2 linked regions of the Daphnia pulex genome follow. The protein of the gene in region 1 binds, or shares a complex with, the protein of each later gene. Links are inferred from orthologs where the notes say so. Each region holds a gene or a part of one and is shown in the gene's direction. Other genes may lie near its edges. The genes, in order: vam6/Vps39-like protein and vacuolar protein sorting-associated protein 41 homolog.

Region 1 (4,306 bases):
CACGTTCAGCAACGCAACTGCAATAGTTGTATAAAATATGATGTGATGTAATATAACGATGAATAGAATTTTACTTACACTAGTAGCGTGTTAGCGTGGCTAAATGGTGCTAAAAGTTGACGAGTAGCAATATCATCTTGGCGGCACTCGATCCCGAGTGCACCTTGGCCAATGGCGTACATGCTCACGTCCGTATCAAGATATTCTGAAATACGCGATTCCCAGTTCATTCGCTTGACTCCAGCTGTCGCTAAAATGAGTGCAGCATACGTTCCTTCGTCGTCTAATTTGCGTAGTCTATCACAGAAACTCGCGATTAATGACGAAAGATTTTATCTATCGGCGAAATTATATTATACCTTGTGTTTAAATTTCCCCTTACGTCTTGGATTGCAAGGTGGGGAAAGTGGCGCTTCAATTGAGCTGCTCGGCGCAACGAACTCGTTCCTAATAAATAATGACGGGTTTGAATACTTGATCACTCTTTCTATTGAAATTTTTCAACTGACCTACGACGCTGCCACTTGGTAAAGTTGCTAATGTACACCCGGAAAACTTGGGAGCCATTAAGACTGCGTCTCTAGGATCTTCTCGCCTAAAATGCATGTGAGTAAATAATAGCATGATCATTTTGGTTTTAAAATTACTTACTCTAGAATGGCACCGATGACCATGCCTTCAGGAAGCGTCGTCGGCATGTCTTTAAGTGAGTGTACTACGAGATCGACCTTATTATGTTCCAGAGCCACCTCCAATTCACGAGTGAACAAACTCTTTTCGCCAATTTGTGATAATGCTCTGTCAAGCACCTCGTCTCCGATGGTGGTCATCGTTTCTTTAAATGATAAAAGTTGTTTTATCTGAATTAATTTCATGAAAGGGGCCAGCGAAGCGCAAATATGCGAAAATATTACCGAGATGAAATGTTTTGTCTTCATAGTGTTGAGTGAGGAGATCGAGCACATGATTGCTTTGAACAAGCGCAAGCTAAAATCAAATATAGAATAACGTCGCAATTTTTGAAGTATGCGCTAGCGGAAATAATGATTTATGAGAATAATACCTGACTTTTGCGGGAACCGATACGAACGGTTGGTTTCGTCAAATCCGACATCTTCTTCAATGAATATGGTTCCTTGGTTCTTTCTGGGAAGGGAAACGTGATGAAGACTAGAATCTGATTAGAAATTTGATTGTGAATATGCGATAGTATTTCATAAACAAGATGACCAAGCAGTGAGGCAGCGTTGCGTAGAATAGAATATTTTGCGCTAAATACAAGGATTATAAAGAAAATTCACTTGAATATTGATAGGTCGGTGAGCAATTACACATTGACAGAACTTAGAATTTTTTAATATTTAATTGCTTGTATATTTTATCTTTCAGTTAGGTTGAATTATTCTGATTTTGGAATTTCTTTTAAATTAAATTTAGTGTGTGTAGTGAACTATAGATGGACATTTGTATGATGTCTGCTACAAAACAACAAATTCCCCCCCCCCTCCCAGTGTCATGTCAGATTAAAACACCATACAATTAGTGATTTTTAAAAATGTATGACGCCTATGAGGCGTTACCAATTTTGGAGAAATTACCTCTCCAAATTGAATCTATAGCTGCTTATGGTAATTTTACTTTAAATACAGAACCACTGTTTGATTTTAATTTATCAACTAGTCAACTGTGCCTTCTTATTATTTAACTATCCTTCATCTATATTATATGAATGGGTTTTATTTACATTGAAAATTTGTTTTCAGATGAACACTTGTTAGTGGGAACCCAACAAGGACATTTGTTGATGTACAGTGTTCTTCAAGGCGCAAGTAATGGTGGCAGTGCTGAAAGTTCTCTCAGCTCACGTTGTGAAGTCCACTTGCTAAGGTCCAACAAATATTTTGCCAAAAAACCAATACAACAACTAGCTGTTGTTCCTGAACACCAGATTCTTATCAGCCTTTCTGGTGAGCTTAATGTATTTAAGTGCCATTTGGTTTGTATAGGAATCTTATAACCAATTCTTCTTTATACTTTTCAGATTACCTTGTGTCTGTTCATGATTTGACAGTGTTTAATTTTCCAGTCATAACGTCACTTAATAAATCCAAAGGAGCCACATGTTTTAGTCTTGATGTCAAGGTAATATTTTTTCCCTTCCCAGAATCAACCAATGACTTTGATGGAAGTGACAAAATTAAACTTTTGTATTGTTCATTTAGAGACAAACTTCTTTGACTGGGGAGATATCAGTGGCAGTGAGGCTTTGTGTTGTAGTGAAGAAAAAACTGCAGCTTTTTTATTGGAAAAATCGAGAATTCCGGGAGTTAGGGCCGGATTTGTCGGTTTCCGATACTCCTCGGACTATTGGTTGGTGTAGAGAAACTCTTTGCTTAGGTTTTAAGGGGGAATATTGTTTACTCAAGGTATTTTTCTTTTGTAATTAACGATAATAGATTTGCTTAGGCAATAAATTATATTTTTTAACTTTTTATAGCTGGAAGGAGAGCAAAGAGATTTATTTCCCACTGGAAAACAGCCTGAACCTTTGGTATGTGCCTTACAAGGCGATAAATTCGCCTTGGGAAGAGACGAACAAACAATTATGATCGATATCGATGGCAATCCTTGCACCAAGTATACACTGACGTGGTCCGAGAGACCGATCCTATTAGGTAAAAGATACCCCAATATTGTTCAGAATATAACCTAAGTCGACTAATCAAAATGTTTGCAGTGGAGGACTCTCCATACATTCTGGGTGTGTTGACGTCTTGCATAGAGATTCGAGCAGCAGAGCCACGGCTCCTTGTCCAGCGATTAGAATTGCCAAAGGCCAAGTACATGACGTCAGTCATATCGAAGAACGGACAGATTTACGTTGCATCTCCCTCTCATGTTTGGTGTCTACATTTAGTCCCTGTACATTTGCAATTACCTCGCTTGCTTGAAGACAAACATTTTCAGTTGGCCATTCAGCTTGCGGTATGTTATAAATAAATTTTTCATAATTTTCGAGATGATGGGAAATAATGAGATTTTTCGTTTATGATTAGAACTTGTCTAACGAACCACAAGATATTCGCTCGCAGCAAGTTCAACACATCCAGTCGTTGTTTGCTTTCAATTTGTTCCAGAAACACAACTTTGACGAATCATTGCAGCTATTTTTCAAGCTTGCTACTGGTGATTAAAGAGAGAGCAAATGTATGAATTGAAATTATTTTACTAAAGAAAAAACCGATTGAATTTACAGATCCTTCTTACGTGATTGGTCTATTTCCCGATTTATTACCAGTAGAATTCCGGAAAAAAGTGGAATACCCCGAGGCTGTTCCCGTTTTGCAAGGTAGAGACCTCGATCTCGCTGTGTTGGCCTTGATTAAATATCTCACTGAGGTTGTTACAATTTTTAATATTTATTACCTACAAAGAGTTAATATTTGTTATTCAATTGTAGGTTAGGAATGACCTTATGAGTCAGAATGTCAAAACAGGAACCAACATTATGGACGTTGGTTCAAGCTTGAAGCTAAGACGTCAACTATTGGAAATAGTCGATACGACCTTGTTGAAATGCTATTTGTTGACCAACGATGCCCTGGTAGCTTCTTTGTTAAGACTACGAGATAACCATTGTCATTTAGCAGAGAGTGAACGAGCGCTGAAGCGCCATCACAAACATGCTGAGCTTATAATCCTTTACCAAACTCGCGGCCTTCATCGGAAAGCATTGGAGTTGCTTCGGAAACACGCAACTAGCTCAGAAGATTTTGGATCCCCCCTTGCTCATCATGACCGAACTGTACAATATCTCCAACATCTAGGTAGCCTAAACATGACTTTCTTTGAAACTGTAATATTTTTAAAAAAGGAAATCTTGTTGACTAGGATCGGAACACACGGACTTAATTTTTGACTTCTCCTCGTGGGTTATACAAAGCCACCCAGAAGATGGTCTTAAAATTTTTATTGAAGACTTGCCTGAAGTCGAGGAACTCCCACGTGCCAAAGTCTACGATTTTCTGTATAAGAACCATCGCTCTTTAGCTTTACCCTATCTCGAACATGTTGTCTACGAATGGCAAGATTCGAACGCTCTCTTCCACAATGCCTTAGCCGTGCTCTACAAAGATAAAATTCTCAGACTTGAAAAGCAGTTACAAGAGGATAACAATGACCCGGCAATTAAATGTGAATACCAAGATTCAAAAGCAAAGTTACGATCGTTCCTTGAAATTTCTCGGCACTGCTCTCCCGAGGCTATACTAGTTCAATTCCCATACGACTGTAAGTGACTTTAAAG
Region 2 (4,266 bases), on another chromosome or scaffold:
CGACATTTGATGCTCTAAATTCAACCACTTCACCAGAAGTATGCACTTTTAAAACTCGCCAATTAAAACTTTGTTTAATAGACATTTTTATGGTGCAAAACCTAAACACTTTCACCATCACTTTTAGATTGTAACATATTTCAAGAAAATTTATGGCTCGGTGAACGACATTGATTTATACATCGGTGGAGTAACAGAGACAAAAGCACCAGGATCTCTGGTGGGACCAACATTTACTTATATTATAGCTAAGCAATTTGAGAACCTGAGGCAATCTGATCGTTTCTTCTATACCGATGTAACGCAATCGGTTTCTTTCACTGCAAGTAAGAACAAAACCAATTTTGGTAATCTTTAGTGGCCTACTCAATTACTATGTGAAAAAAAAATGTTACTAATAGATCAACTGGTCGAAATCAAGAAAGTGAGTCTTGCCCGCATCATCTGTGACAACAGTGATGGAACTATTGCGCAAATTCAACCGCAGGCCTTCCGTACACCAACTGTGTAATGATTAATTTGTCACAAGTCTACTTGAAAAAATGAACTAATTTGATTTCTAAAACAATCATTTTATAGCACAAATATGCCAACTTCATGCAGTAGCATTCCAAAAATGGACTTTGTGAAATATACCAAATAAGCATCTGTATGGGTATCAAGAAAATGCATGGTTTTCACAGGCAGTTTTAAGAAAAATTGTGTTGTAAAATGGTGAAGGGAGGGGGGACTAAGGGAAAACCAATAGAAGACTACATTGTCTGTATACTTTGATAAATCTAATTTTCCTTTGAATAGTACATGTTCTCTATACTACGACAGAAAATATAGCTATTTCCCCCTTATCCTTGATACAGATATTTTTTCCCTTTTGAATAAATCTGGTCAAAGATACGTAATTAATTGAAAACTTGACTTACCGGTGATGATTAAGATGGTACTGGATACTGGGTTCTTGCTCATGGAGACCACCATTCAATGTTAATCATCCTGAATAGTATGAAAGAACAAAGAGATTAATGTTTTGTAGTTATTCAACTTTGAGAAATTGCAAAGAATATAGAAATGAACTACTCACTACATTGAAGGCACATTATTCTCAGCTTTTCACTGTCTCAGTATGTGGATGTGGGCCAAGAAAAGATGAAATTTTACAGTAGCTAAAGCATGGTATAGAAATCCTATACCATGGTACAAGAAAACATTATTAAAGTTGTCTTTCTAAAAAATAACTGCAGAGAAAGTCTATTGCACGTCAAATCAAAAAACGTACTAATCATGCTCTGTGCTCCTACGTTGCCATTTTATGATTTTAACTAACAAAAACCAGCAAAAACAATAACAAAAAGATCAAGAGTCGTCTGCATTTGACACCCCTTCAGTGACGATAAAATGTTGCAGAGTTAAAAGGCGCAGTAAACGATTTCTAGTTATTTTGTTACACAGAAAAAATTATATTATTTGTAAGTAGTTTCTCAGTTAGTTTTTCATTTTTACTTAGATTATATGTTGCCTTACAAAATGTTTCCCTTAACTGATGTTAGGAAATCATGGAAGAAACTGTTAGCAAGCTTGAACAGCATGATTTTGTGGAGCAGGCTGCAGAGATGTCACACAGTTTTGTTGCTGATGATGATGATGAAGAAGAAGAAGTTGAACCTAAGCTAAAGTATGAGCGATTGTCCAATGATATAACAGTTATCCTGAAGAAAGATGCAGCCAGCTGTATCGCTGTACATCCTAAGGTAAATATGATTAAATTGACAGTGCTTGTTTGTTAAAAATGTCTATGTATTTTGTAGTATATTTTTATCATTTCCCTTTAGTTTATGTGTCTAGGAACCAATTGGGGAGCATTGCATTTACTTGATCATCTTGGGCATTCATCACAGCAACAAGAGTTTCCCACTCATGGAATGGCAATAAATATGGTTGATATTGATAGTGGAGGAGACTATATTGGTAGCTGTTCAAATGATGGAAAGGTAGACTGAAGCATTTAGTTTTCACTTTCAGGTATAAAAATCTTTAATTTTCTAGGTTATGGTGTCTGGGCTTTACTCTACAGAAAATTGCCATACACTAATGGTTGATCGACCTGTCAAAGCTATTGCTCTTGATCCGCTGTACTACAAGTCTGGTTCTGGAAGAAGATTCGTAACTGGCGATGATAGGCTTATCTTACATGAAAAAGTGTTTCTTTCTCGCCTTAAATCGACCACCTTATTTGAAGGGGAAGGTGAAATCACTAACATTAAGTGGAAAAATAGGTTTCTTGCTTGGGCGAGCACAACGGGAGTAAGAGTCTTTGACATGTCTGTTCGCCGCATAATCAGCGTTGTCAAGAAAGATATCAGCCCTGGGTATGCATACATTTTTAAATATTATTAGAAACTGTTTACTAAATCCCACATAAAAAATACAGAATCAACCCAGAAAGTTATCGGTGTATCCTGTATTGGAAGGATGATTTGACACTGGTCGTTGCTTGGGCAGATGACATCAAGGTCTGTGTCATCCGAAGGCGTCCGGATGCTGACGCAGAGCGACTAAATCTTCCGACACATTACGTTGAAATTGGTACGTTTACCCTGAAAAAATAGTATTCCCTTTTTCTTAACGTTATAGATGCAATTTTATCTTTTCCAGTTTCGATGTTTATTATTGACTCATTCGTGGCTGGCGCTGGATGGCTGGGCAATCATTTAGCCCTTTTAGTAGTTCCAAAAGACGAGGAACTATCTGGCAAGGGTCAAAGACCTCAAATGAAGTTGGTGGAACCACACCAGGAAAGTTACAATGAAATCTCAGCAGATGTTTTATCAATTCGTGGCTTTCAGGAATACTCTTGCAACGAATATCATTTGGGTAATAAAGCAAATCAACCTGGTATATGATTGGAATTGACCACTACTTTTGGCCAATTTACAGAATGTCTGGCTGAAGAGGGTCAATTTTTCATCGTTAGTCCAAAAGATGTTGTTTTAGCTAAACCGCGCAATCCTGACGATCACGTCCAGTGGCTTATGGAACATCAGTAAGCGCAACTTTCAAAGTTTTTTTTTTCTCACAAAAAGAACTATCTTATTTCTAAAATAGAAAATACGAAGAAGCCATGGAAGCAGTTACGGGGCCACAAGCACGTGAACTGAAATGCCATTCTGTTCTTCAGGTCGGTAGGACGTACCTCGATTTCCTTTTGTCGAAGGGAGAGTTCCAGATGGCTGCCAAGCTCTGTGTTAAAATTCTGGGTTCGTACAGTAATTTGTACTCACTTTAGCCGTTCTTATAAATTGTTCGTCTCAAACAGGCAAAGAGAAAAATCTTTGGGAAGAGGAAGTTTTCAAGTTTGCTCGATTGCACCAACTACGGGCTGTTACCCCTTATCTTCCAAGAGGTGAATGTAGATTGGATCCACATATTTACGAAATGGTTCTCTTCGAGTTTCTCAAAACTGATTCAGCTGTAAGAACACATAATACTATGAGTAAAAAAATCAAGAAATGATTAAACGTTATTCTATTTCCAGGGCTTTCTTCGGCTAGTAAGAGAATGGAGTCCTACGCTCTATAACATTGCAGCTGTAATGAACGCTGTGCTCGAGCACATTCTTCGCCATGATCCAGATGATACCACTCTTCTAGAAGCCTTGGCTATTTTGTATTCTCACGAGAAGAAATACGATCGAGCCCTGGCAATGTACCTCAAGTACGTCAAACAAGGTTATTATTCTGTTATCGCGATACGGATTTCAAAATAGTTTTTGTTTCAGACTTCAGCATGCTGATGTGTTTCGGTTGATTGCTCAACATCAGCTCTTCACCACCGTCCACGATAAAATCCTCGCACTAATGGAACTGGACGTCAACCAAGCTTGTACGTTATTCCTAGAACACAGCGAACACATTCCTTCCGATTTAGTGGTGTCACGTCTACAAACTAAACCACAATTGTTATTCAAGGTTAGTCGTTCAAAACTTATCGTGTGAGTTTTTAATTAATTCAAGTTCGCTACAATTGTAGTATCTGGACGCGTTGTATCTCAAAGAACCAAAGGAAGGAAGCCGAAAATTCCACGGCCTTTTAGTTTCCCTCTACGCCGAATATGCGCAAGAAAAATTACTTTCCTTCCTCCGCAGCAGCGATTACTACCCGATCCAAGATGCTCTAGATACGTGCCAACAACGAGGATACATTCCAGAAATGATCTTCCTTTTGGGTAACTAAAGTCTCTTAGATTCGATTTTCTTACGTACTTGCATTTTG

The links.
Region 2: vam6/Vps39-like protein (region 1) and vacuolar protein sorting-associated protein 41 homolog share a complex: the UniProt entries of both Homo sapiens proteins name them as parts of the homotypic fusion and vacuole protein sorting (HOPS) complex. The link is inferred for Daphnia pulex from reciprocal best matches to the Homo sapiens genes VPS39 and VPS41.

The regions. Positions count from the first base shown.
Region 1 is NC_060022.1:6,334,028-6,338,333, forward strand, and holds the start of vam6/Vps39-like protein, read left to right. Parts: upstream 1-1,478; 5' UTR 1,479-1,555; coding exon 1,556-1,628; intron 1,629-1,763; coding exon 1,764-1,967; intron 1,968-2,041; coding exon 2,042-2,142; intron 2,143-2,222; coding exon 2,223-2,426; intron 2,427-2,497; coding exon 2,498-2,675; intron 2,676-2,737; coding exon 2,738-2,985; intron 2,986-3,056; coding exon 3,057-3,186; intron 3,187-3,256; coding exon 3,257-3,399; intron 3,400-3,460; coding exon 3,461-3,827; intron 3,828-3,891; coding exon 3,892-4,290; intron 4,291-4,306. Other genes in the region: porphobilinogen deaminase-like, read right to left, coding at 1-17, 79-297, 360-447, 510-595, 652-835, 915-987, 1,064-1,114. UniProt on the Homo sapiens protein: Regulator of TGF-beta/activin signaling, inhibiting SMAD3- and activating SMAD2-dependent transcription.
Region 2 is NC_060028.1:9,538,953-9,543,218, reverse strand, and holds the start of vacuolar protein sorting-associated protein 41 homolog, read left to right. Parts: upstream 1-1,331; 5' UTR 1,332-1,463; intron 1,464-1,544; 5' UTR 1,545-1,550; coding exon 1,551-1,745; intron 1,746-1,826; coding exon 1,827-1,985; intron 1,986-2,040; coding exon 2,041-2,363; intron 2,364-2,425; coding exon 2,426-2,580; intron 2,581-2,649; coding exon 2,650-2,868; intron 2,869-2,931; coding exon 2,932-3,037; intron 3,038-3,099; coding exon 3,100-3,251; intron 3,252-3,310; coding exon 3,311-3,465; intron 3,466-3,529; coding exon 3,530-3,708; intron 3,709-3,772; coding exon 3,773-3,962; intron 3,963-4,023; coding exon 4,024-4,219; intron 4,220-4,266. Other genes in the region: peroxidasin-like, read left to right, coding at 1-38, 128-326, 402-507, 580-643. UniProt on the Homo sapiens protein: Plays a role in vesicle-mediated protein trafficking to lysosomal compartments including the endocytic membrane transport and autophagic pathways. Acts as a component of the HOPS endosomal tethering complex.